Linked DNA regions of Tamandua tetradactyla. The protein of the gene in region 2 purifies or fractionates together with the protein of the main gene of each other region. This does not show direct contact. Links are inferred from orthologs where the notes say so. Each region holds a gene or a part of one and is shown on either strand. Other genes may lie near its edges.

Region 1 (3,910 bases), on a different chromosome or scaffold from region 2:
TATGTGCACATTTCTTCAAGTCATAGACATATTTGCATTATTAAATCATCATTTAAAAAATTTTTATATTATTAAAATCACTCACCTTCTCCAATTTTCTCTATTTTGGTATAGTCTTCCATAGTTACCCAACAGGTGCCGTAAATCCTAAAATGAGGGGAAAAAATGACTTGATTACATGCTACTAATTCAAAGAGTGGTTTTAAGTATGAATGAGATACTACATATTAAGTATTTAGCAATGTCTACTGCAATATAAAGTATTTCATAAATATGAGTTATATTAAGACAATATTTACAAGAATAAGAACTCTTGCAATAAGACTTTCCCACCCTCTTTAGCTTCTAAAATATTGGAAATATGTGTATATTCTACACCAGTGTAACATTTAGCTTCTTCCATCTGGATTAGCCCTCAAATTCACAATAAATCAATCCATCCTTTCCAAACCAAACATGGAAGTAAGTAACACTTTTAAGGAGCACTACTGTGTACCAAGGTTATACCCAAATACATCAGCAAATAATGCTATTTTGATTTGATTTGTATTGCTTTACGATATTTTTAGTGAAGATAATTCAAGAGAAAATGTTCAGGAGACTTGAGTAGGGGTCTAAAATCTGGTCAGACTGCTCCCCATTAGAAAGGTTTTGCTTAAAGCAACAAAAGCATTTTAAGTGTTTACAGTTGGCGCAAGTTGAGTTTTAATTTTTCTTCTTTGTTTATAGCAGTCACATAGACAAATGTGCTTCTCTATTACAAGACTTGCAAGGTACCTTTTGCAAAAGAAGATATCACTGAATGCCCTAGAAGGAAAAGATTAAAAGTGCAATTCCACAAATAAAGTTCTGATTATACCCTACCAACACCAAGAACCAAATAAAAAAACAAATACTAATCACTAAGAATGGTAAGAAGGAGCAGAATTGCAGACAGACAGCCAGACACTCAAGATCTTCTCAGTTGGTTAAGTTTTCCAATGAAGCAAAACCTCAGAAATCTGAAGCATAATTACATTGATTTTCTAACACACTCATCACTGATGATAAAATCATAAGGGTTACTCTGAGCAACTGACTCCAAAACAAAAGAATGTCCATCAAGAATTTACAATTTAATTTTATTAAACAGCAATGGACAATTTAGCACAATTATCTTTTCCTAAGTGACCAGAATTAATATGGGCTAAAACACAATAAAATTGTTGCGCTCACTTTAATAGCTAAAAACTAACTCCACTTCAAAGCCGGACTCAATTACCCTTCTATTTTCCAACTTTAACAATTATCAATAAAACATGCTGCTTCAGAATGCCTTTTGGATGCGTCCCGCGGCTCTGTTCTAACAGCTGTAGGATATAAAATATCTTTGGCTTAGTTTCCCTTCCCAGAGACCTCCAGGTCCAGAATGCACACTAGTAACTTTAGTAATGGATCAACACTGATTAAAGGCCTTGACAAAGGTATTAAGAACACATGTTTCTCTCTCGGCATTTCTTAGTTTTCCACTTTTTGCCAGTGATATACTAGCTACGAGTGTAAAGTACAAGTAAAAAAAAAAAAAAAAAAAAGAAACCCAAGTTTCCACTGGCTCTGTGCCTTGGCTACGGGTTCTTAAAATTTCCGGTCAGGTAAGGGACATGGGTGCTGAAGGAAGCCCGAGAGAGCCCAGAAGTTCGTCGGATCGGTTTCTCAGACTGACTGGGATTAAAGACTGGCGTGGGGCCCGGCCCAGGTGCGGTCTCGCTTTCCACCCCCGGAGCAGCCGAAGGATGAAGCGCAGGCGGCGAACCGAAGCAGCAGGGCCCATGAGCGAGCCTGGCGCTCACCAGCACCCTGCGTCCTCGAACCTGTGCACGGATTTTGCTTCAATCCAGCTTGCACCGACACCAGAATGCCTCCTCCGCTGGGTGGGCGACCTCTTCCTCGAAACAGACGATTCAGACCTCCAGAAGGGAACTCCGAGGCCAGGGCAGCCTCAGCCCTCCCCAGAGTAAGCCCATCCGGCTGTGCTCCCACAAAACTCCCCCTAAAGCCCAGGCCCGGGATTCCGAGCCCCGGGCCCAGCCCACCCTGAGGCCCGGCCTTGCCGCACACACCCCCTGCTCCCCAGCAGGGCTTTCAATACTCCCCTCCCCAAGGCCCCCGAGCCGGCGCCTGCCGAGTACATGCCCCATAGGTACGACCCGGGCCCCTGCAACTCTACCGGGCTTATCCGACGCGGTGGTGGCAGCAGCTACCACGTCGGCGTCACTCCTTCCCAACTTCCAAGAGCCAGGTTTGAAGCAAAGTGAGAGCAGTTTCAAAGTCACCGCGCTAAAGGGTCTCCGATCCACCAATCAGGTAGCCCGTAGACTTTCAAAGCAGCCAATCAGAGCACATTACGCTTGGGCTGGGTTTCCCGGGCGGCTAGAGCGCGAAAGGAAGAGGAAACGGCGGCTGGAGAAAAAGCAGGTGGGCGGGCGCCAACTGAGTCTGAACACAGGGGCGTCTTTCATCCCAGGGAAGCGTCGTTCTACTGTTTCTCGTCTTGAGAATCTACTATTCGTTCGGGTTTTTTTCCTTCCGGAATTGGTACAGTTAAAAATTATTGCGCTCAAATAGCTTATCACATTACATCAAGATTCCATTCCGTTCAGTTCTCGTGCTTAAGGCTAATGTATATTTATGTTTTTCTAAATTGAGTGGTTTGCTGGATGAGCCTATTTCTCCATAAGAGCACGTTTTCACTTACCTGAAGATGATGGAAAATGGAAAGACCTAAAATCTAAAGGAAATTTTTACAATATTAAATTATTTTTACATCAAAATTTTACATATGAACACAAAATTCATAATTCTTTGAAGGAAGAAAAAGGAATCAAGTTATTCTTTAAATAACACAGCATCACCACCATATCCTTAAGAAAGATCTTTGCATTTGAACATTCAATCTTTAAGGAAATAAAACAGTATGTAGAACCCGGGGTAGTAAGAGTCCTCTAGGAAGAATTCCTCTTTGCCTTGACTCTAACTGGACATAGAACAAAGAATGACTATCTCGACCTCTTCAACTATGAATTAGAATACCCAGGGTAGGATAAGGAATGGAACTAGTATATCACATGCATTCATGCATTTTTGCACAACGAATAGGAGAAGCAACATCTGTTGTTTGGCCCTATATGTGGCACTTAGGCTCAGTCTTGACTATTTTAGCCTCCCAGGCCACAGAGGCAGAACATGTGGGGTTGTTGGGTAGGGGCTTGTAAATACCCTAATTAAGCCTAACAGTTTTTAAAGCTTACTTTTAAATGAAAAATTCACTCTTTACATGAAAACTGCCTTCATTTCCCCAGAGTGGTGCTCTAGGGAGGCAGGCTGTTCTCTGTTATTTTGGGTTACTGATTTTAATAAATGAATATACGTCTTTCTCTCTGGAAGGCTTAGGCATGGAATTCAATTTGTATCATCTTAAAAAATGCAATTAATGCATTATATTCACTTTACATTCAGCATAAAGAAGACCATAAGCTTCCATAGCTGTGATGCTACTCTTTTTTAATTTAATGCGATTCTCTTTCTTTTCAGAATTTCAGGAGGGTTATTGTAAATTCAAGCTATCCTCTTAACACATATAGTTTATTATATTTTCAGCCAACCTATATTCAGTGTCTGTAAAGTGCAACACTGTATTTTATAAATGCAAAAATGAGTAAGATACCATTCCTGCTCTCAGTATAAGAGGGGGGAAGCACAAAGATGATTTAGAACTCTCTTCTGGTACTTAAATTGTAACTTATGCTATAAAATGACAGGGGAACACAGAGGAGAAAACTAATGCTGACAGGGGAAGTGACATTTGAATAAATACTTTAGAAAGAATTGTGGGACGGGCATTCCAAGCAGAGGAAACGGCATGAACAAAGCA
Region 2 (3,910 bases):
TATTATTAAAATAAAACAAAAACAGAAAATAAGAAACGTTGATGGGGAAGTGGAGAAATTGACAACCTCATACACTGTTGGTGGGATTGTAAAATGGTGCAGCCACTGTGGAAATCAGTTTGATGGTTCCTCAGCAAATGGAACACAGAATTACTATATGACCTGGCAATCCCACTTTTAGGTATATACCGGGACTTGAGCAGGACATTTGCACACCGATGTTTATCACAGCATTATTCACAATAGCCAAGAGGTGGAAGCAACCCAAATGCTCATGAACAGATGAACAGATAAACAAAATGTGGTACACACACACACACACACACACACACACACACACACACAATGTAAAAAGGAATGAAGTTCTGATGCATGCTACATCATGGATGAAGACACTACATTGAGTGAAATAAGCCAGGCAAATATTATATGGAATAACTAGAATATGCAAATTCAGAAACAGAAAGTAGATGATGGGGTACCGAGGTGGGGTGGGAATGGGGAGTGAATGCTTAATGGGTGCAGAGTTTCTGTTTGGGACGATGGAAAAGTTTGGGTAATGGATGTTAGTAAATGACATTTACTGTACACTTGAAAGTGGTTAAAATGGAGAATTTTGAGCTGTATGTATGTTACCACAACAAAAAGTTACAAGAAAGAAAAGTCACCCATCACGTGTGAAAAGTAACCCAGGAGCTGACTATCCCATGGAATTGGGGAAGGAAAACGAGCCAGTGGAGCCAAAAAGGCTTCGGATCCCTAAGGGGTAAGCCTGGGGGCGGGGGCGGGGGTTTCCTGGGGACACCAGCCAGCCTCCCCTTATCCCCAGAAGACCTTGGGAAGGGGATGGGTCCTCTGGAAGTTCCATGCCAAGATAGTATTCTCTCTGGCTCCCAGGTTTTGAGGTTTCTCAATCTGAAACAATCACCCACAACACCCAGCGTGGCTGCCTCCCACAGTCAGTGAATTAAAACTTTCCCTTCATACCTTTGGCTCACCTTCCGTGAGGAGTGGGGTGGGGTCCTGCCCGAGCACCCCATCTGCCCTGCGGGGGTAACGTTTCTTCTGGAGAAGCTTTTACCTTGGGGAGCCGCAGCTGGGAGGCACAGGAAATCTGGTTCCTGGTGGGCGGTGATGACCAAGCCCCGCCCCCTCTGCCACAAGGGAACTGATTGGTGGAGAGCCTGGGTGGGGCGGGGCAGCCCCAGGGCTATATAAGCGGCCGGGGCGGCCCGCAGGGCGTTATGCTGTAGGTTGTTGCTGAGGCCAGGTAAGGCTTCTCGAGGAGGGAGGCTGCGCCCCTGGAGACGCCTGGATGGAAGTCCTGGGCCGATCCCGGGCTAGGGGAGGGCGCCTTCCCTCCAACCCTCGAGTTGTAGGGAAGGCTTAGGAAAGTAGCTGGAGATACTTGAGCAAGCTCTCGACACCCCTCTCAGCCTCACTTACCCCGTGTGTGTTCAACCCTTTGGTGTGGGATGGGGTGGGGTGGGAGTTGGGGGCAAGAGAAACAGTGACGCTCTGGGGCTTTTGGAATCAGCCAAACTCCACCTTTAACTGGCTGCAAGTCCCCTGTGCCTTGGTTTCCTTGTTTGTGGAATGCGTGTCACGGACCCAGCTTTCGGGAGGAAATAAGATGTCTTAAATAAGTATTTAGCACAGCTCCAGGCACTTAGTGGCTGTTATTACACCTCTCTGGCCTGGCCTGGGGTGCCGGGAGGAGGGCTAGGGGTGCTGCGGCCTCCGGGAATTCCTCGTTTCTTTCCTAGGTTCCCCCACCCCCACCCCCCACAATGCATCGCAGCGTCCATCTTTGCTGAACTCCCTTCTCCACTCGCATCCCTCCACCTTGGGGTGCTCTTTTCGGCAGGCCTCACCATCCCCCCTGGACTGGTGGGAGGTGGGGGAGGGGGTACTTGCTGAGTCGGGGTGGGGGGCTGCCCTCTCCACAGGTCACCCTGCCCCGCCCCACCCCGCCTCACCCCACCCCCTCATGAGATGAGTGGCGCCCCGGACCGTGCCACTGTCCCTGTGGTCGCCGCCCAGGTGAAGCTGGGGGGCTGGAGCCGTCGAGGTGGGGGCCGCGGGTTCCTCCCTTCCCTCCAGCACCAGGAGCTCCAGGCCTTCCTCAACCTTCTGGGTGAGTTCATTTGGGGGACGGGGGTGGGGGGGGGTAGAGAATGACACGGGAGGGGCTGCAGGGATCAAGTGTGAAAAAAGATACAAGCATCTGAGCTCTCGGGTGCCCTTCCCGCTCAGGTGACCCAGGTTTGGCAGGTGGCAGAGGGGTCGCGTCGGAAAGTGGGTTCCGTGGGGGCTCGGGCTTTGGCACTCTGATGCCACTTCGCGTCTCGTGGTGGGTGGGGGATAATGCAGAGCCCCCATTTCTCCTCTCCCTCCACCCAGAGGACAGTTTTCTCCAGGAATTCCTCTCCAAAGACCCCTGTTTCCAGATTTCAGATAAGGTGGGGGGGGCAGAGGTTGTGGGTCACTTGAGGGGACGGTTGATTTAGTGGGGCTGGAGCTCTGCTACTTTCCTGGGGGTCCCTGGAATGGTGGGGGTGGGTGGGGGAGGACTCACTTTTTACCTCTAAATCGTCCTTGGAGCCCCCTCCCCACCATCTTACCCCATCCCTTCTCTCTACCACCAAAATTACCTGGCCAGGACACACCCCTGCTCCCCAACCCCCCCTCCACAGCTGACCTATGACCTCCACCCCCTCCCACACCTCTGTCTCTCTGCAGTATCTCCTGGCAATGGTGCTGGTTTACTTCCGGCGCGCCAACATGCAACTCAGCGAATACACCCACAGCAACCTGTTCTTGGCACTGTGAGCGGGGGTGGCAGGGGGCGGGGGTGAGGGGGCCTCAGCGGGCCTTTGGAGGGTGCTCGGCCGGTGCTGCGCCCTCCGCTCCCTGACCCCCCCAGTCCCGCATGGCCAGGTACCTTGCGAATGACATGGAGGAGGACCTGGAGGACCCCAAATGTGAGATTTTCCCCTGGGCTCTGGGCGAAGGCTGGCGTCCTCGGGTCTCGGACTTCCTGCACCAGAGGGACCAGCTGTGGGCGCGGATGGACTTCCGGGCTGTCGTGAGCCGCCAGTCCTGCGAGGAGGTGACGGCCGGGGCCTGGCATCCCCCGTGGGAGCAGCAGCTCCCCCCCCCACTGACCACCCGCTTTCCTCCTCCCAGGTCATGGCCAAGGAGCCGTCCCACTGGGTCTGGATGCGGGAGCGGCGCCCCCACCACGGCGGGGCGCAGAGGGGCTGCCCTGAGGCCCTCCTCTCCCTGCCCCGGGGCCCCGGCCTCTCGCCACCCCATTGCTCCCTCTGTGGCTTGCCCCCGAGCCACCCCTTGCCTGGGTCATCCAAGTGTCCTTCTCCAACCCCTGAGTGTCACAGCCCTCCCTCCCGAGCTTGGCTCTCAGTGGTTGAAGACCCCTGGGGTGGGAGCTTTCTCCTCGTCCTGCCCCCGCAGCTGCAGCTGGAGCCAGGCCTCTACACCCTCCACAGTGAGTGGGGCAGGGGGAGCTGGGGGATGGGCTTGGAAGCCTGGGAGGGGGGAATGGGGGAGGTCAGAGTGACAGAGCGGGGCCCATGGGGTGTATACAGGCTCCCATCCCAGCCAGTGACAGCTTGGCAAGTTTCCTCTTTGAGCCTCACTGTGTCCTTCTCCCCTAGTCCTCCGGGGGCCTCTGCCGTGCCCAGGAACCCAGCACCCTGCGGGGTGAAGAGCCGCTGGCCTGTGAGCTCACTGAACCAGTGCCCCTACTGGCTGTGGACCCTCCTGGCCTCCTCTCTAGTTGACTTCAGGCTGGCAGTGCTGCCCACGCCCCCTGCCCCTTCCTCCCACCTGCAACTTGTACCCACGCTGGCCTTGGCCCCCCCTCCAATAAACTCGTGTCACGGGACAC

Evidence for each region.
Region 1: the proteins of SPDYC (region 2) and CDK1 purify together in Homo sapiens (co-immunoprecipitation; 3 studies listed by BioGRID and IntAct, with this or other methods). This does not show direct contact. The link is inferred for Tamandua tetradactyla from reciprocal best matches to the Homo sapiens genes SPDYC and CDK1.

What each region holds. Positions count from the first base shown.
Region 1 is NC_135339.1:36,504,723-36,508,632, forward strand, and holds the start of CDK1 (cyclin-dependent kinase 1), read right to left. Parts: upstream 2,749-3,910; 5' UTR 2,207-2,748; intron 148-2,206; 5' UTR 123-147; coding exon 86-122; intron 1-85. UniProt on the Homo sapiens protein: Plays a key role in the control of the eukaryotic cell cycle by modulating the centrosome cycle as well as mitotic onset; promotes G2-M transition via association with multiple interphase cyclins.
Region 2 is NC_135335.1:9,397,227-9,401,136, reverse strand, and holds SPDYC (speedy protein C), read left to right. Parts: upstream 1-1,197; 5' UTR 1,198-1,270; intron 1,271-1,766; exon of another isoform or gene 1,767-1,949; 5' UTR 1,950-1,995; coding exon 1,996-2,137; intron 2,138-2,403; coding exon 2,404-2,462; intron 2,463-2,742; coding exon 2,743-2,828; intron 2,829-2,940; coding exon 2,941-3,112; intron 3,113-3,189; coding exon 3,190-3,508; intron 3,509-3,677; coding exon 3,678-3,727; 3' UTR 3,728-3,907; downstream 3,908-3,910. UniProt on the Homo sapiens protein: Promotes progression through the cell cycle via binding and activation of CDK1 and CDK2. Involved in the spindle-assembly checkpoint. Required for recruitment of MAD2L1, BUBR1 and BUB1 to kinetochores.